3 linked regions of the Neurospora crassa OR74A genome follow. The protein of the gene in region 1 interacts with the protein of each later gene in a biochemical or structural test. Links are inferred from orthologs where the notes say so. Each region holds a gene or a part of one and is shown on either strand. Other genes may lie near its edges.

Region 1 (7,948 bases):
GTCTCTCTTTGGCTTCCGCCAGGCGTCTTTCTAGATCGGCGATCTCATCCTCAATTGCTTCGGCATCGTTGGATAAAGCTCTCTCATGTTGTAGTTGTGACATGTTTACTGTCATGGACCAATTCGGCGTTATTTTTGCGCTATTCGTGAGTTGACTGGAGAAACTTCTCTTGTCATGGGTGGTGATAGCAACACACCGCTGGGTTCGTTGATGGTTGTTGTTGCTAAGAGGCATTTGTAAAGCGGGGCAACCCTGCGGTCTCTTATCAACGATGCATCGTTTCTTGTTATACCTAGAAAATCAACATTGTGGGTGAACGCCTCAATCGAACGAAGAACCAAGATGAGCGGAACCCATCGGCATCAGATGTGATTATTCTGTTCCATCGCTTCGGTCGTGCTGTAGACTCGTCGCTAGCTTTTCTCATAAAAGATGGACGCCGAATAACACTATTATAATAGGCACAACGTAGCGATCCCTAGATAAGGAAACCCATATCCCCTTGACCCTTAAACACCACGCAATGCTTCCTCCTGTGATATAAACAGTGACCGTAACCCAACCAATTCCAGCCTGGCCGTTTCAGAACCGAGATCATCTGACACCCGGCCTCTACTGAAGCCTTTCCCTTGCCACACGTTTGCCCGCCATGTACATATGAAGCTACAGACATTATCGCCACGAAGAATAAGTGGTATGCATACCTCTATTAAGGCCACAGGTTCTCCTTATTCCTGTCGCCCAGACCCCTCTCCCTTTCGGCTCTTTTGCGCTGCAATCGAGCAATGGCTGCTGCCCGGCGGTCTGCGGGAAGTGTTGTGGATGCGGACGTCTTCGGAGGGGGTGTTATGCTACCGACGTTCCAGACAGAGCTGCTGTCAATGTCAAACCCTTCCAAACGCGCAATGTTTGAATGCGGCACCACATCTGGTTTGAAGGGCTCAAGATCCGGCACCTTGAAGGAGTGAGAAGTGGGAGCCTTGAATGGCTCGAGCTCGGGCACTTCGTTGGAGAGAGGCCGGGCGATACGCGTCATCCTCGTGGTTGGCAATTGAGAGCCAGCGTTAGCAGCCGCTGTTGCCGTCGCCTTAGTGCTCGTCCATGGCTTGTTCAGCTTCTTGCCTAGAATGTCCTCCAAGCTGGACTTTGTGCGGAGAGTCCTGGCAGCGGCAGATGAGCCGGCTGTCGTGGTAGTCCCTGCTGTTGTCCTATGCGAGGTGGCTGCCCGCTCAGGCTGGCTGGTCGTCCACGAAGGTGCTTGTTGCTTCGCGGCTTCACCGAATCCTAGAGGCTTTTTGCCCATGTCTGCCTCTACCTTCTCTCGAAACGCACGAGAAGAAACCAACGCATCGTCCTCGTAGCTGTACCGCTTGATGTCGCCCGTAATGGTCCTGATTCTTTTCTGGGCTCCGGCAGCTGGTGCGGGAGCCAAAAGCCCTCGTTGGATGCTTGTTTTCCTGAGAGCATCTAGCTCCTTGAACAGCAATGTGCTCTCCTCCTCGGCCGATTCCAGGAACTTGAGTGCTTCTTCTCGGTCATTTGCCTCCTTGACCTTGTCGTGGCTCGCTTTCAATTTCGCCTCCAGGTTCTTCATCCGCGCCGCCCACTTGGACTCGATCGTCTCTGCCTTGAGGGTTGCAATCTCCTGCTGAAGTTCGGATATTTTGTCGTTCTTCTTTTCCAAAACTTCCCTCGCTTCGACATATCGGGATTTGGCGTCCTCCTTCAACTTGTTATAATCTGCCCTGAGTTTTTGAAGTTCATTGTCCTTTACCAGATTCTCATTCTTGGATTCGGCCAGCCGTTTCTCCAAGTCCTTGACCTTGAAATTGCTCAGCACCACCTCACTGTTGAGTTTCTTATTCTCCTCGGCGAGTGCGGTGGCTCGTTGCTCGGCGAATTTTAGCTCAGTCTTCATTCGGCCCCGCTCGTCCCGAAGCTTTCCAAGTTCCCTAACCTGTGACCTAGCCTTCCTAAGCTCTCGCTGGGCCTCCAAAAGTGTCCGATGAGTTCTTGGCGATGCAATCCGTCGTTTGTATGAAGCATGGCTCCCGGCCTGATAGTCATTATGATCCTCTTCATCTTCGCGCAGTATCTCTTCCAATTCCTCGACCTGGGCCCTGTACTCTTGCGCCAAAGCCTTTTGCCGATTAAGCTCTTCTATCAAGCCGTTGTTGGGCTCGACACCACCTCGCTTCGAATAGACATTGACGTGGCGCGTCATCTCGGCAATTTGCTCCTCCATTTGCTGGACCCTCTCCTGTTCCTCCTTGAGCTTCTTGTTCAAGTCGACGGCCTCGGCATCTTTCAGTTTGGCGTAGGACTTTGCGAGCTGCTTGTATCTAACCAGCTTCTCCATTTCCGCCCTCGCATCCGCGTGATACTTTTCGAACTCGGCCTTCCAGTACCTTCCAGAACGCGAGTGTGGTTCGTTGAGATCGACTGTGGCATCTGTGATATCTGTTTCGAGATCCGAGTCGTCATAATACTCGACATCATCTTCATCCCATGCATCTTCGGCCGAAAACGTCTTGACACCAGTATCTGCGGTTTGCGGCCTGGTCCGTGAATTTTCGAGAATTTCGGTCAATCGGGTCTTTGGTTTCGAGGCCTGACCGTCAGTGCCAAGGCCGCCCGTCGCGGTCAAATCCAGGGCCGATCCCGCCTTAACGCCATGACCAAAGGAAACGCGTTTGCGACGGGCTGCGCCGACGCCTGGAGTCAAGAGAATGCCGTTCGGTTTCGTCGGTGATCGATGAGGACCGGGCATAGGGGCGGTTTTCTTCGAATCTTTGGCGGGTGTGCCGAACAAGGCAGTCTTCAAGGCGCGCACAGCGAAGACCGGCGCTGGAGTATCGGGGACATCGAGCTGGTTGGTAGATTCATCTGGGCCAAATGGTCAGACTCAACAATGAGGAATAAATGCGCTGAGGCTCCTGCAATGGCCTGCAACCGTACCGGCATCGGGTGCGCCCTGTGCATTTTGCGCAGTCGAGTTATTGTTTCGCCGCAACGCCCAACTAATCATTGTGTCGGTCGGCGATGGATGAAGAAGCTGAAGCGAGGTCTAGCGCAGCATACTCTGGGCGGTCGGCGATGGGGGAAATAGGCCCCTCGAATACGATTCGCGCGATAAGGTGGGAGAATTGGTTGATGGTGGTGATGGAGGTTGTAGAGGTAAGAATGGGATCGGATTCGCGGGCTGCAGTTGTGTGTCGCAGCTGAGTCGAGAGCAATGGGAGTGGAAGAACTAATCCTGTTTGATGGGCGAGTGGGTGATTTGTTTACTCTTTCCCTGAACAGGACAGACGGGAGCCAATGAGAATCGGGATGAGAAGTGGAGGACGAACGGGATGGATGAAGCTGACCTGATGGCTCGTCCCGCCATCCATCCGTTCAGCGTCCTGTCAGTGTGGTCCAGTGCCATTCAGTTCCAAGCAAACAGACGGGAGCGCGGCAAAGATCTCAATTCAGGTTCAGATTCCCAAGTGGGACCTACTGCAGGGTCTCCACTTGTGCCTCTATCATGTATTCTTTGCTCCGACCCCACTTGCAAGTGTTCGCCACGGTCCATCCATCCCTCGGCCGGTGAACCTTGAGAACCTGGAACCCGCTACCCAGCTACCTACATACCTAGCCTAGGCACCTGCTGTGAAGATAAGTACACTACATATGTCGTGAGGTAGGTAGTACTGGACTGCCCGTACCCGCTCACAGCGGTGGGAACTTCCTAGTTAACAAAGTACTTAGTTTATCGGGACTCGCTGGGGGAACCTTATCAGCCAGGCTCGAGCTGAACAGCGGAATGGATGCTGTTGTCGTGGACTCGGGCTCTGGACCATCCTGTTGTTGGGGACCTTCACGGGTCTTCATTTCCATTCCAAGTCACAGTTGGAGTCATCCAACGAGTCACCCACTCACTTGTCCACTTCACCCATCTTACATCCATCCATCTCCTCTGCTCCCACTCACTTTTGGAAACGCGACCGTTGACCACGTCACTTCGTTTCCACCCAACCTTCACCCTTGCCCTTCCACCTTGTCTTCCCTTTCCCGCATCTGAACCCAGTCTACCACGAGAAAAGATGGGCTCCGCTCAGTGAAGTCTCGCAGCCATCTCGGCTGTGTCCGTTGCATAAGGCCTAATATACCAGACCAACCCCCTTTCCACAACGACTAACAAGACTCACTGATTAATAACAAGCATCTCTGCCCAGCAGAACCGGGTCTCGCAATAATGGCGTGGAAGAAACCTGCCGGCAAGAAGAAGCCTGCCCAACAACAAACCCCCAAGAAGAACAATGAAGGCAACACCACTTTCCCGGGGCTCAAGGCCCCGGGGCAAACCCCACCAGCAAAGACTCATTATCAGGAAGTCCAGGAGAGTGAAGTCATGGTGCTGCAGGCCATCTATGGAGAGGACTTCACCCAACATGAAGCAGCACACGGGGCATGGCAGGTAAGATCTATCTTATCTCTTCTCTTCCCACAATGTTGTTCACTGACAGACGTCCAGAAATCGGAACCCCGTTTTGACATCAAGATTAAACCTTCATCTGACCAAGAGCTTTCAGTGACACTGGGCGTGGTCATGGTGGCAACTTACCCAAAGACACCTCCACTGCTGACCATCAAGGATGACCACAGTCTCCGAGAGTCGACCAAGTTCAAGATTCAAAAGTTTGTGGAGACACAACCAAAGATCTATGCGCAAGCGGAACAGGAGATGATAGACCAGATTGTCGAAGGGATCCGCGATATCCTGGAGGAAGCCGCTCAGAAAAAGGTCCAGGGGCTGGAGATCCCCTCCTTGGAAGAGGAGAGGGCAGCCCACGAAGCAGAGCTGGCAAGGTTAGCGCAGAGCGAAAAGGAGCGAGAGGAACGGAAGAAGCTCGAAGAGAGCAAGGAGGAAGAAAGAGTCCTCGAAGACATGCTCCAGGAAGAGCTCAAGCGCCAGCGAAATAAAGCAAAAGAATCCAGAAAGAAGAACAGGAGCCATCAATTATCCCCTGACCGTGCTCCGCAAGATCCCGGCGAGACTGACGAGACGCTCATGTTTGATCAGCCCTGCAAGATCACTGATGGCTCTGGTAATGCCTTGTTCTTCCAAACCGTCATTGGCAAAACTGTCTTTCGCGAAGGTCCCATCACCACCGTCTACAAGGTCAAACCAGTCCTGTCCGCCAGAACAGTGCGCCCTAGCCTAGCCTTGAAGCAAGTAGAAGTCAAGTCACACGGAAAGGATTCGGCTCAGTTCAAGAAGCAGCTGCAGTATCTAGAGTCGCAGATGGAAACACTGAAAAAGCTTCGCCATCAGAATCTGCTTCCCTTCCTTGACTTCAGGATCGATCGAGGCATCAGCGACACCGATTCTTCTGCGCCGACCATCTGGACCGTCAGCATTCTGACGCCCCTCGCCACCAAGGGGCCCATTGAAGAGCTTCTCGATCTAGCGGGCCATATTGACACCAACAAGGCAAAGATATGGACGGCCGACCTTCTGGAAGCACTTGCATTCCTACACAACAACGGAATCATTCATCAAGACCTTCACCCAGCCAACATTCTCCTCTACAGAAACGAGGCGGGGGATATAGTGCCTAAAATCACTGATTCTTTTTATCAGAGGGAGCTTCACAACCTCTGTACAAAGATAAAGACGCTGACATCCTCAAAAGCCGCCAAATCCGCATACTGGTTTCCGCCCGAAATTGCAGGTGTAACGAAGCCTCAATACACTCAAAAGACCGATGTCTGGGACTTTGGCATCGTCTTTCTTCAGATGATCTTCGGTTTGGATGTTGTCGAAAAGTATCATTCGCCTTCCGCACTGATGGATTCTCTTTCCTTGTCGGCTCCGCTGGAAGAACTGGTCTCCAAGTTCTTCAAGTCCGACCCCAAGAAGCGGCCGCGGGCTTTTGAGTTGAGCTCAAGCGAATTCCTTGCTACCAATGCGCCCATTATCGATGACGAGGACATTGCTGTGCCGGGTTCCCTGATGCCCATGCCGCAAATGACCCCGCAGAGGATGAGGCACGACTCGATGAGTCGCGGACCCATGTCTTCCAGATACCGACAGGACTATGTGGAAGAGGCTCGTCTTGGAAAAGGAGGGTTCGGAGAGGTTGTCCGAGCCCGCAAGATGATTGACGGACACCTATACGCCATCAAAAAAATCACACAAAGGTCTCAAGAGACACTTTCAGAGATCCTAAAGGAAGTCCGACTGCTTTCCCAGATGAACCATCCGGCTGTTGTCAGATACTACAATACATGGCTGGAGGAGGTGCCGGACTACGCGGACACAGAAGGCGATACTTCAACCGAAGGCGGCGCTACAGACGTTACAGACAACTCTCAGGTCACGATATCCCACGGCATAAATATTGAATTTGCCGAGAGCAAAAGCAGAGGTCTAGATTTCATGTCCTCCAGTGGGCACCCGGGCATTGAGTACGACTACAGCTCGAGTGAAGAAGAGGATGACGACGAAGATGAAGACGATGAAGAGGATGAATCCGACAATGACTCAAATGACGATGCTGCCACTGTAAGCGGCAAGAACCACCTTGGTGTCACAGGACGGCGTCCTCGACGGGGAAGTGCTCGCCCATACAAGACCGTGATGTATATTTCCATGGAGTATTGCGAGAAGCGGGTAGGTTCCCATTATGCCAAAACCAAAATCCGAATGGCAACACTGACAGTTCTATAGACACTGCGCGACTTGATTTCTCGGAATCTGTCTAAGGAAACAGCTGAGATCTGGCGCTTATTCCGCCAAATTCTAGAAGGGCTCTGCCACATTCACAGCCTCAACATCGTTCACCGTGACCTCAAGCCCGAGAATATCTTCATCTCTTCTGGACCTGACGGCCTGGATAATGTAAAGATCGGCGATTTTGGGCTGGCCACTAGCGGACAGTTGGCGATAGACAGGTCAACAGCAAGCTTGGATGCAAGCGACATGACCAGGAGCATTGGCACAGCAGTTTATGTCGCCCCTGAGGTCCGGACGGGTGGCAGCGGCTCTTATACATCAAAGGTGGATGTAGGTTTTTCCCATCCTCCTTGCAAGACTAGACTGACATCATCCCTAGATGTATTCCTTGGGCGTGATTTTCTTCGAGATGTCGTACCCTCCCATGCTTGGAATGCAGCGCGCCATGGTCCTTGAGCAGCTGCGCCAATCCCCTCCCATTTTGCCCGCTGACTTCAAACATATGGATAAAAACCATCTCGAGGTCCTGTTGTCACTGCTGACTCACAACCCTAAAGAGCGCCCTTCGAGCTCAGAGCTTATGAAGAGTGGCAAGCTTCCGATTCAGATGGAAAGCGAGGCGATACGGCGTGCGATTGCTGGATTGTCGGATCCCAACTCACCTTACTACCAAAAGATGCTCGAAACTTTATTCTCCAGGCCAATCGAACAAGCAAAGGATTACGCTTGGGACATGTCTTCATCTGGGCCATCACCCCAAGAACTCATGCGACAGTTCATCGTCAAGGACACCTTGATATCCATCTTCCGGCGACACGGTGCGGTTGAGGCTCCTACGGTCTGTCTGTATCCCAGCTCTTCGCATTATGGCCAAAACGCGGTCCATCTCCTCGACCAGAATGGTACGGTTCTTCAGTTGCCCTTCGATCTCATGATGGGCCATGCTCGCTCTCTCGCAAGGATCACGAACAGCCCCGTTGTTCAGAAGTCATACTCCTTTGGCAACATATTCCGTGATCGTCACGGCGGTGGTCAGCCTGATGTGTACGGAGAAGTCGACTTTGACATTGTCACTTCAGACGCCTTAGACCTTGCCTTGAAAGAGGCCGAGGTCATCAAAGTTCTGGATGAGATTGCGACTGCGTTCCCTACTGTGTCGTCTACTCCCATCTGCTTCCAGCTGGGGCATTCGGACCTCTTGAATCTTATCTTTGAGTACTGCGGCG
Region 2 (5,685 bases), on another chromosome or scaffold:
TGCGGGTAAGGCGCCTTGGTACGGATCACGTCGCCTGCTATTCCGACCACTCTTTTTACGACCTTTCCCTTTGGGTTCAGTGGGTTTCTGGGTTACAGTTAGTCGTCAGGTTCCCAACCAATGCCCCGAATGCGGCACGCCAGATGCTGTAGGATGAGATTTTGGATCTCACCTAAAGGTCACAATCATGCCGCGCTTGAGGTTCCGGTCCGGGTACCACTTAGAGACCAGTACGATGTCCCGACGTGTTGACTCATTGTAGTGCGGGTTGAAGAAAGGATACATGGACGGCCCCTTGATTTGTGTGATCTCGGCAACCCAGCCGTTGAAGACCACCAATGGAGGGATCCATGTTGCGTAGCGAATGAGGTAGTGTGAGAACTGACCGAGGAATCCGTTCCGAATTCCTGCTCCCCATCGCGCCGCCATCGCTATCCGACCAAGCGAGTTATCGAGCTACCGAAGATGTCAATGCGATGCAACTCTTTGCTGTGAATCGCAATGCTGCTGTGAAATAGAGGGCGTATGTTCGCCTCAACGTGCTCAGTGAGCAGGGCAGTGAGCAGTACGGAGCTTGTGTGTTAACATGGAGAAGACAATAATTGCAGCCACATGCCCGGGCAGGCGGCGATAAGAAAACGATGAGATCGCTTATCAGCCCCGGTAGCTGCATATCCTTGAACGCCTAGATCTACCTAGTTACAGCAAGTGCATCCATAAAATGACTATGTATCCATATCAAGTCTTGTGTTCATCAATCCTCGTCCCTCGCTCACATTCATTAGGCATACGCTTGATGCAATCTTTTGGTTGATTCCTCTACCGCCTGAAGGACTTTTGTATCCCCTAGACGCCAGCCCTGTGTCGCAAAAACTGTATACATGCATCCCTAAACCTTTCCTCAAAATAGTGTCGAGTATCCCAATGAGCCTGCAAAGATAGCTCCGTTTAAGAATGGCTGCAAAATGAAGAGGCGCTTTAGACGGTCTCGGGGATATTGTCGTCGGACTCGCTGACACTCTCGTCGCCGCTGACCTCAGCGTTCTCACGCTCACGCTTCTCCATAAGAGCTTGGAGCTCAGCATCATCGGACTCAGTGACAGCCTTGGGCTCCATCTTCACCACAAGGTGGCCACCAGCAGCCTCGATGCTGGTCCGCATGTCTTGAATGGCCTCCTGAAGGCGGGCAATACCGGCATTCTTGTCCAAGCAGGTGTTGGTAAGGCTGTGTATAGTTATTAGCTTCCACTCTGTCTTCAACATTGCAAGACTATTTCTGGCAAAGACTTACACATAAAGGGGAGGGGACACAAGTCTGCACTTGACCTGGGTTTCCTCAGTGTTGCGAGCCTCCGCAGTGCGGAGAGCGGTCTTGATAGCATCGATACCCTCGTAGCCGAAGCAAGTGACCTCAACATCGGCACGGACCTTGGTAGGCTGGGGAGTCAAACGCTTGCTGATGTAGGTCTTGAGCTCCTCGGCAACGGCCTCGGTGGGGAACTGGATGTCATTCCAGACGTCGGGGTTGCTTCACATCCATGTCAGCATCTTGTCCAATACCGCCATTTTGTCCCACAGCTGTACGCCTATTTCCCGGAATGACGTACGTGATCGAAAGCTTGAAGGCATCAAGCGAGTGGCCGTATTTCTTGTTGAGGGGCCATCCTATTGTCTCGTAAAGCTGCTCGATGGGAACAAGAGTCTTCTCGGCAACGTGGCGCATAATCGAGTGGACGATCTTGCTCTTGTTGTAACGCTCCTCGCAACGAACGATATCCTCGGGGGACACACGACGCTTGGACAAATCGATATAACCCTTCTCCTTGTCGACACGGAGAACGACGACGACCTCGTTGCGACCGACACGGATCAACTTCTGGATGGAACGAATACGTCTTCTGGAAAGCTCAGAGAGCAGGATCATGCCGTCGATGTTGTCGTACTCGAGAAGCTTGACGTAGGCGCCCATATCGGCAATCTAATCTGGGGGTCAGCTCTGACGCATCCACATGCGCATGCGCACCACCGGGACCCCAGTGTATCGTACTTGCTTAACATTGACCATAACGAACGAGTCGATTTCAGGATACTTCTCCTCATAGAAACGGCAGTTTGAGAGCGACATGTTGGCGACTGGTGCCTTTTCCCGGGCGGGGCAAACGGTGAAATAAGTGGTGGTGTTAGTGGTGTTGAAAGGGGGAGGGTAATGTCGGCGACGAGCTTCGCGACAATGGGCGAGATGGAATTCGAGTGGATGGTCTGGAGGGGTTGATGGCCGAGAAAGAAAATTGACCGAGTTTCGCTGCAAGTGGCCACAGCTGGGAAAGGTCCTCTGGAAGTTCGAGTTCTGGTTGCGGCAGCGGGTTCTCGGAGGGTCCAGCGAGGCTCAAAGGACTCACTCAAAGTTAGCCAGATGCGTCGCAGTATTTTTCGGGTACCAACCAAAAATTACGTGCAGACAGGCTGCAAAAGTGGCGTGGGCACTTTGGGAGGGAACGAAGTAGGCTGTGGCTGGTGCGCCGGATTGAGGGGTGAATTTCACGTTCTGACCGTGACGGCAAGTGAGACGCGGCTCCATCTTTTTTTTTTGAGGTGGGGTAAGTCGGGTACCTAGGTAAGGAAGCGCACAGCAGCCCAGGTGGGAACAACGGTACGCAAAGGCAGGTACCTGCTCTCGGTTAGGTACCTCTACTTACTCCACCTGCCCCGAACTCCACTGTGCCAAGCGCCAGCTCAGTGGGCAGGAACAACGACGTCAATCGTGAACCGACAGTGGGGTTAGTCACTGATAAGCCTGGAATCTTCCTTGGACATCGTCGAGCTAGGGAGCTTCAATCACTGAACCTTGCTTGTCCACCAACGGCGACTTGGAGATTCGACTTTTGCACGGCACCCAAACGAATCCCGAGGGCCGACCAACACCCGACGACACTGGGCTCATCTAAACCCTCCGCACATGTCGTTACTTTTGGAGGAGCTCACCCGTTTCGCTTTTCTCGACGGTCTCCGTCTTGGGTGACAACACTTGGACCGATATGAAAAAGAACAGAGCGACGACACCGCAGACCAGGTAGTAAGAGTTGGGTTTCAACCACAGGCACATCGGGGAGGGGACAGCTCATAGGTCTTGATCAGGTTGCGACGGTACTTTTGGGGTTCAGACACGCTGATCGATCGAACACCAACTATTCTTCACGACCATCCCCACGACGACGGCGCGACACTACCGCGATACCTACAACCCTATAAAAAAAAGGAAACACAAAAACAAAAACATACATACACACTCTCTTCTTTCTGTCAGAACCGATCTACACGACGGGCTCGCCCGGTAACTCTTGGCTTGCTTGCTTGGTGCTTCAGGCTTCTGAAAATGGAGTCTCTTAGCAACCTCGGCAACGCCATGAGCTCGGTGCTTTCCGAGACAACGTCCACGACTGCGACGGCAATCCTCGCCGATCCTACAGAAGCCCTCTCGTCTGTCGTCGCTCTCGCCAGCGATGCGGTCTCGAAAGCTACTAGCGATGTGGTTCCCGAACACACCCCGACTTCATGGTTCACCATCATCCTCTGGCTGTTGCACCGCATCTCGAGTGTGCTATACTTTGTCATCAAGCTGACCACCATCACTACACCCACCTTTCTGTTCAACATCTTTTCGACTAGTCTGACGGTGACCATGAACGCCACTACGCTGTAAGTCATCCGCCAGCCGCATTTTGTATACATGGACTCAAGGCTGGTGGATCTAACCGTCGGTATGCTTAGTGTGCTTATTATGTTGTTCATGATGGCAGGAGTGACCTGGGTAGTCAGATATCGCTACTTAAACATGTACTCACGGCTTCCTCCTGAGCCCCAGCGCAAAGAGCCAGCTGTTGATCTGTTCCCCGAAACACAGGAGGAAGGAGTAAAGTCTGGGCTAGCTAGCTACTTTGACGAGTTTCTCAGCGCCATCAAAATCTTTGGTTATCTGGAAAGGCCGGTTTTCCATGAACTGACCCGCAGCATGCAAACGAGGAAGCTGATCGCTGGCGAAACCCTCAACCTCGAAGAAGAGCAAGGATTCTGTCTTGTGGTCGACGGTATGGTGGAGATCTTTGTTAAATCCGCCAGAGATGGTCGACGCTCAAGCAGTGGCCCTTCGTTCGAGAGCGACGATGAGGAAGGCTTTGCTCCGGGTCGCCAGCGCTACCAGCTTCTGACCGAAGTGCGGAACGGTGCCCCCATGTCATCACTGTTCTCTATCATGTCACTCTTCACTGAAGATATCCAAATGCATGACACCGACGACGACGACAGCCCCGACCCAACGCCTTCCGCTCCTGGCACCGCTATGCCTGGTTATCCTATGAACGCCAACTTCCAGCAGTCGAACGATACCCTCCCGTCCATCCCAGGTACCCCATTGTCCGACAACCACGTTATGCAACGTGGGATGGCTTCGGCTGAGTCTCTAACAATGTCTCCCCTAGCTCATGATTCTTCGAGGATACCATCACTTTCTCTCGTGAACACTCGTCCTGCTGTACCCCGCCGGCCGGTACCGAAGAGGCTCAATACCACTTCAGCCCATCCAGATATTATTGCGAGAGCGACAGTGGACACTACCATAGCCATTATCCCCGCCAGCGCCTTCAGGCGTCTGATCAAGATATATCCCAAGGCCACTGCGCACATCGTTCATGTCATCCTTTCGAGGTTTCAAAGAGTGACACTTGCCACTGCTTACAACTACCTTGGCTTGAGCGGCGAAGTATTGCAGATGGAGCGCAACATCTTGAAGCATACAGTTCGGCAACTCCCTAATCATCTCAGAGGAGACGCTTTGGATAGACTCAAGGAAAAGTTCAAGCGGGAAAGGGAAAGAATTGGAGAGAAGGAGGTCGAAAAGGGCATTGCTCTTCACAATGCGCATGCCGCCCGCCGACGTCGTTCGGCTGCCTCCCTTCGGAAAGAAGTGGCATTGCAGGCATATTCGAAAAGGCGGCAGAGCATCGTCACGGCGACCCCTGCATTCGGAACACGTCGAGAACGCCCATCGCCCGACATGCCTAGCCCCGGCGACTTGCTCACGAATACGCAACAGTTGAAGTCTGGGCCGGCATCGCAGCTTGATCTAGCGCGAGACGCTACATCTCCTCGACCACAGCGAAATCTCAGTCCCTTCTCTACTCCTCGAAACGCACATGTCTCTCTTGACACGAGGGAAGCCCTTGATGAAGACGACATGTTCCGAGAGTCGGTGCTCGAATGCATGTTCAGGGCCATTGGCCTGACCGGTAACGGAAGTGTCAATCCGGATTCGACGCAAGCTTCCCCAAGATTTGTTCCTACGGACCAGCGACGTTCGAGGGGTGGTCCCGGCCACACTGCTTTTGGCTTCATGGATGCCTTCGACCCGTTCGACAACGACACGGAGTCAGTTACCTCTTGTGGATTTAGCTCATCGTCACCAGTTCCCAATCCTCAACTACTCGCACACGATATGAAGGACGAGGTTGAGATCGTCTTCTTTCCTAAGGGCTCTGTCTTGGTGGAGCAAGGTGAGAGAAATCCTGGTCTCTATTATGTTATTGATGGTTTCCTCGACATTTGTGTTCCGGGCGACGATTCATCACACGACCTCCTCCAGTCCTCAGCCAAGGTAGACCATGGCCATGACTCAGCAACTGGTGCCGACGC
Region 3 (6,097 bases), on another chromosome or scaffold:
CATAAAATACATGATTAGGTCATCTTCTACCTACATGTATTTCGCTCAAGCACATTGTTGACTGAAGGAAATGTTGCGAAGCTGGACACCCAAAAAAAAAAGGTTTGGCATAGTCATGATCTTTTGCAGTTAGGGAGGGCCAACCTCATCCAGGGAAACAAACTTCTCTATAAATGACCCAACCATTACATATATGGTTGTTCAGTCAGAGTTCCCGAGGATGGCCGTATGATTCCTTACCTTGGGCTACTTCACAACAGCAAAAGCACGAAGCAGAAGAATAAGTGAAGCACAAAATCTACCCTAGTCACACAAAACACAGAAACAGAGCATCACAATCTACAACACTTTATGACCGCTTTATCAACCTTGAGATTTTCGCTTTGTACAATCTAACAGCATTTTTTTCCACACCTCCCACCCAACCACTACCACTACCACCACCACCACTTTTCCATCATCCTATCTTATCTTAATGCTTCTTAACAACTCCCGCCGCATCCGCCTGCGCCGCAATCCTCTTCTTGTACGCCTGCACATCACCAGGGAACTTCTCCACTGTTCCGTTCTCGCACACCCACAAGCTCTTGCACACCGTCTGTAACATGGTGACATCGTGGGAAACCATCAACACACCACCCTCAAACTTCTGCAGCGCTTCCGAGAGCGCATCCATGGCCTCGATATCCAAATGGTTGGACGGTTCGTCGAGAACCAAAATGTGCGGCTGCGTGAGCGCCAAGCAGGCAAAGGCCACACGGGACTTTTGACCACCTGACAACAAGGCCATCTTCTGCAGACCTGTGGTGCCGGTGATGCCAAAGGCGCCCAGCTGGCGACGGTATTCCTCGTCCGTCTTTCCTGGGTACGTCTTGGCCATGAAGGAGACGGCCGAGGCGTTGAGGTCGAGGGCGTCGACGTGGTGCTGGGCGAAGAAGCCGATGCGGAGACGGGGGTGCATGGTGATGAGGCCCGAAGTGGGGGAAAGTTTGCCGACGAGCAACTTGAGGATGGTGGTTTTACCGGCGCCGTTGGGGCCCACGATACCGATGCGGGAATCGAGTTGGACGTCCAGGTCGACGTTGCGCAGCAGGATCTTGTCGGGGCTGTAGCCGAAGGTAACCTCGGACATTTGCACAATGGGCGGCGAGAGCTTCTCCACCTCGGGGAACTTGAAGTGCACGCTGTACTCGGTCTCGGGCGGTTCCAGGACAGGCATCTTCTCGAGCTTCTTGATACGCGATTGGGCTTCTGAGGACTTGGCCGCGTTGTACCGGAACTTGTCGATGAAGGCTTGCAAGTGGGCACGCTGCGCCATCTGGTTCTCGTACTCGCGCTTGGCCACCTTCTTGCGCTCCTCGCGCGTGGCGTAGAAGGAGTCGAAGTTGGCGCCGCGGTAGTAGTCGAGCCGCATGGAATGCTGGTGGATGATGTCGGTGGCAACCTCGTTGAGGAAAGCTCTGTCGTGAGAGACGACGAGCACGGTGCTGGGGTAGGTTTGGAGATAGTTGGATAAGAACGTGATGGAGGGGACGTCCAACATGTTGGACGGCTCGTCGAGCAGCAGGAGATCGGGCTCGCAGAAGAGGGCTCGGGCGAGGGCAAGACGCATACGCCAACCACCGGAGAACGTCTTGGTCGCAAACTGTTGGCGTTCTGGCGAGAAACCCAAACCGGCAAGAATGCTGGCCGCTCTCGACTCGGCTTTGTCCGACTCCATTTCGGCAAGCTTGCCCTGGATCTCCCCGAGCTTGTTGTCCTGAACCTCACGCTCCCTATCAAGCTTGGCGGCATCGGCTGAGGTGTCGGCCAACCCGACGCGCTGAGCCTCAATGTCGGCCAACTTCTTGATGATCTCGGCCTGCTCCTTGAGAAGAACCTTACGCCAAACGTCGGCGTCCAAGACGGCCTGGATGGCAGGCGTGTCGTCACCCGTGAGTTCCTGTTCGACGTGAAGAATGGAAATGTGCGTAGGAATGGGAACCTCTCTGCGAGAGAGGGCTCTAAGAAGCGTAGATTTACCGACACCGTTGTGACCGACGAGACCATAGCGATGGCCGTAGGCGAGAGTGAGAGTGGTGTCGGTCAGGATTCTGAGACCACCGATGGTAACGTCGATGTTGTCGATCTTGATGTCCTTGGTCTTGCCGGAAGAGCCGTTCATCTGCAGAGGGTTGACGGCCATGTAGAACTCCTCGTACGACTGAGCTGGATCGACCTGGTTGAGCAGACGTGAGGCCTCATACTCGACCGTCTTGAAGGTCTTCTTGTTCTGCTTGGCCGCAATCTTCCTCTCGGCCTTCTCCAGCTTCTTCTTGTCGACCTTGGACTCGACCTTCCTGGCGTTGGCCGACTCAAGATCAACACCGCCCGTGGCCACGGCCAGAGTCGACGAGATGTTCCTCTGAGCGCTCACTTGGATAGTCTGGTCAAGACGCTTCACAGCCGGACCCCTCTTCTCCTGGCTGTCGTTGGCAGCAGAATACCTGTCCACCCACTTGTCGACCAGCTGACGGATCTTGTCCTGCAGGGCGGCATTAGTACCACCAGAGGCCGAGATCAGCAGGTCGGTGATGGCGGAAGCGGCCTCGACGAGTGGAGACGGGCCGGTAGCATCCTCATCGCCGGACCAGGCCGTTGAGGCATGGGTGAGATAGCCGGCCGAATACTCGGAGATGATCGGGTCGATGTTGGGGAGAACGGTCCTGATTTCGGCCTCCATCTTGGCTATGATGGTCTGACAGTTCGCTGATCAAACTACGGTGAAAACAAACACTGTCGTTTTGTCACGTTTCCTTTGATCTTGAAACGCAGCTGTAGGTAGCCTGTCGGAGTGCGATATCAAAGTGGAGTTCAACTTTTGATACTTTCACGGCGCCGGTCCGCCTCCCGGGTGCCCTCGTCCCTCTTCTGGGCGCGGGGCGGAATTTGCCGCCAACTGACCGCTCGACGGTGGGGTTCATGGGAGAAGCTCTGATTGGTTTGTTTGCACTCGAGGAAGCTAGCTGTTACTGTTAGTGCAGCAGCGCTAACGCCCGCAAAAGGAGCAACATCATCACGAGAAACTTTACCACCAGTGGCATCGAATCCTTTCCCTTTTTAACATCATCAGCACGGGCAGGCACCAGCTTTCTTGCATGGGATATTCTTCCCGCCTTCTAGAACACGCATCGTGCACGGGCAGTACGCAATAAAGCAGTGTAGACCTTCCAAAAGGGAAGGGTACGATCCTGAATGGCCCCGATGAGTTTCGTCCACTTGTCTGGAAACCACCAGGCCTCGGCCCAGGGCCGCATCGCAAGTTTCGCCAATGATGGCACGCCATTAGACACTTTACGAGTTTGTTTCAGACGGCTGACAGTGGTGCATTCAACCAATGCCCACTACCATAGCTACCAATGTCCACTGAATCGAAAAGACATCTGCCTTTGACCATTACACCATCTTGAACACAGGGGCGATCCAAGAAGCCACTTCAGCAATTAACCGCTGCTTGCTCACTGAGTGGAGCGTCACTATCACAGAAAGAAGAACTAAGCGCGAAGGAGCAATTGGAGCAAAAAGAGCCCTGCCTACGTCTAGGTACTGACGAGTACGAATCGTACTGCCCAGTGCCCGGAGGACAAACATGCAAAAGCACACACATGCCCGAAGCCGCTTTGGTGTCGCCTACTATTGATGTCCTTCGCCGCCCATCAAAAGCAGGGGATTTTACTGGGCGTGTAAATTGGAATTGATTCGACCCAACAAATCAGATGTCGCAACCGACGGAGGTTCGATGGTGTGTGCGTGTGTGTGTTTGCCCGCGCGCGGGTGGACATCTCTTCTTCTTATTCTCTATTCGTTTTCTTTGTCTGTCCGGCTGTCCGTCTGTCTCCTTCACCTAGAACTCCAGACAACTCGGGCGAATTTTCTAAGACAAATTACCGACGGCGACCAGCATCACTCATCATCGTCTGATTCAGCCTGCCAGCTGTGTCTACCAGCTATCGCCGAGCTAATCCCTACCTCTTAAGCTCTTACCTACCCTACCCTAACCTGCCCTGTCCCGTTACGGTGATAATTTGTTAGCGAAGCGAGTAGGTAAGTAAGCGATTACCCCCCCTTGCCGACAACCAAAATATAAAACAAACCGCGCGTAAAATGCGGTTACAATGTGTGATAGTCACCAGCGGACATTCCCAATCCCCACTACTACACTGCCTACCTACCCTGGCGATAGCACCATCGAGCGGTGCTGTTTTTTCAGGTCTTACCAAGGCTAAATTGTTGTTGGATGTCTGCTGTGGTTCAACATCACAAACCCTTGCGCAGTTTCAATGAACAAGATTTCATTTTCGCCCTTGGACCTGCCTATCTCCTACCTATCTATCTCTCTACTCGTCACGGGGCGCCGCCATATGTATGTTTCGGAGCAGAATCAGAATCAGAATCAGAATCAGGTAGATGCATGTTTCCAACAGCTGTCGGTCTGTTCCAACTTTCGTGTGTCTCGGACAAAACGGAACGGCCCACGATTAGGGCAGAGACGGCGCAACTGAGTCTTGTGGAGAGAAATCGATACTCAAGGGATCGTTCGCCGCCTGTTTCTCCCCAGTGTCTCGCTAGATGGTTACGAGACTGTGGCTGACACAAATGGCTGGCGGGATGTGAAGTCGAGCAGAGAAAAGAAAGATGATGCAGTGGCTAAAGTTCATACCAGTAGTGGATGGGGGGGTAATTGATCTTCGTTTCTTACCTCCTGTGGAAAGGCGACAAGGTGAACGATGGATGCTTCATAATATCAAACTTCTATATCCTCTAGTGGCGATCAACCCATCTACATACTAGCCTGCACAACAATGCTGTGTTGTGGAAACACAGCAGTTGCTTGTGTCCTTGATGATCTGCATACACTACCTACGCGCTGTCGCCCGCGGCGCAAGATACATCGAATGAGGATGTTCTTTTGTGTATCCCATCATATATATATATGGGTTTAGAGAAAAGAAGTGGTTGAAACGACACCGATAGTTTTTAAAGAGGGCGCTCGTGTTAGGGTATTGAAGCCTGCCGACATGCTGTGCGATGTGTGGATAGTGTAGGTCGCCGCTTCACCAGAATACTCTGGGTGTATGTATGCATGTTCTGGCTCACCCAGGTACGTAGGTCTATTTGCAAAGCCATATATCTGCTAGAGCCTCAAGAGACCGACGTGTGTTTGATGGGTTCTTTGTGTCAATGAGAGGGAAATGAGTAACTGGACGGACGTGAATTATCGCAGTGACCAAAACGTCTCCAGCAATTAAAAATATGTACGTGTTTGTACGGGTACTTGCGCCTTTAACGGGCGTCTAATAACCATTCATCCGTAACGCTGCCGCGGGAAAGGGAAACCGAGCGGCTTTTCGTTCATAAGAGAACGGTCGCTCATTGGTAGTGATCAATCACATTTCCCTCATCGGCTTCGCGCGCAAAGAGAAAGAGATGATCATCGAATATTTGTGGGGGAGTTTGAACTTCAACCTCCAAAGAGGTGAAGGATTCCGAACCATAAACAACCAAACATCACCAAGCAGACGTCCCGCGTTAATACCACCCACTCACTCACTAGTCACCATCCACCACCCTTGTCACCCACATTCTTTTTATAGCATGGCAGCCATGCTTTTTCAGCCTTGTTGCTGCCAAGTTCTGTCGATTTGATTGAAAATGAAAAGGATGTTCGACGTGGACAACTGTCTTCCAAGGGATTGATAACCGCCACGGTCTCATCCATCGCTCAGCTTGCGTGGGAAAGCCACGTTTCGCCAGATCTGTTCACGACATTGGGCCCTTGGTATTTGATGCGCTTTGGGACAATGACAATGACAATGGCAACAACGATGACGACGACGGCATAAAATATAATTGGGTAGCGAGAAATGAGCTAGTATCAGAGTTGGACGCAACCAAACCCGGCCACCCGCGACTGGAAATCTCCCGATCCGAGTCGAGTATTGACAGTTTTCTTGTTATGGGCAGGCATAGATGAACACAATAATGTGTAGTCCAGTACTGAGGTGTATTCTGAGGGGGTTGCTGGCTCGCTAGCTGGCCGGCTAGCAGTTCTGACACG

Evidence for each region. The genes of interacting proteins can lie anywhere in the genome.
Region 2: of the proteins of cpc-3 (region 1) and NCU08277, one has a biochemical effect on the other in vitro, tested with the Saccharomyces cerevisiae proteins (2 studies listed by BioGRID). The link is inferred for Neurospora crassa OR74A from reciprocal best matches to the Saccharomyces cerevisiae genes GCN2 and SUI2.
Region 3: the proteins of cpc-3 (region 1) and NCU04051 form a complex in vitro, tested with the Saccharomyces cerevisiae proteins (2 studies listed by BioGRID, with this or other methods). The link is inferred for Neurospora crassa OR74A from reciprocal best matches to the Saccharomyces cerevisiae genes GCN2 and GCN20.

The regions. Positions count from the first base shown.
Region 1 is NC_026505.1:3,165,494-3,173,441, forward strand, and holds the start of cpc-3 (cpc-3 protein), read left to right. Parts: upstream 1-3,612; 5' UTR 3,613-3,683; intron 3,684-3,751; 5' UTR 3,752-4,238; coding exon 4,239-4,460; intron 4,461-4,517; coding exon 4,518-6,659; intron 6,660-6,716; coding exon 6,717-7,052; intron 7,053-7,101; coding exon 7,102-7,948. Other genes in the region: NCU01185 (urease accessory protein UreF), read right to left, coding at 1-103; NCU01186 (hypothetical protein), read right to left, coding at 711-2,887, 2,960-3,029. UniProt on the Saccharomyces cerevisiae protein: Metabolic-stress sensing protein kinase that phosphorylates the alpha subunit of eukaryotic translation initiation factor 2 (eIF-2-alpha/SUI2) on 'Ser-52' in response to low amino acid, carbon, or purine availability.
Region 2 is NC_026504.1:2,569,506-2,575,190, forward strand, and holds NCU08277 (eukaryotic translation initiation factor 2 alpha subunit), read right to left. Parts: upstream 2,563-5,685; 5' UTR 2,126-2,562; coding exon 2,048-2,125; intron 1,979-2,047; coding exon 1,608-1,978; intron 1,529-1,607; coding exon 1,292-1,528; intron 1,226-1,291; coding exon 979-1,225; 3' UTR 588-978; downstream 1-587. Other genes in the region: NCU16791 (mitochondrial inner membrane protease subunit 2), read right to left, coding at 1-87, 173-429; NCU08276 (hypothetical protein), read left to right, coding at 3,374-3,696, 3,769-5,685. UniProt on the Saccharomyces cerevisiae protein: eIF-2 functions in the early steps of protein synthesis by forming a ternary complex with GTP and initiator tRNA. This complex binds to a 40S ribosomal subunit, followed by mRNA binding to form a 43S pre-initiation complex.
Region 3 is NC_026506.1:2,567,692-2,573,788, forward strand, and holds NCU04051 (GCN20), read right to left. Parts: upstream 2,888-6,097; 5' UTR 2,723-2,887; coding exon 473-2,722; 3' UTR 310-472; downstream 1-309. UniProt on the Saccharomyces cerevisiae protein: Acts as a positive activator of the GCN2 protein kinase activity in response to in response to low amino acid, carbon, or purine availability.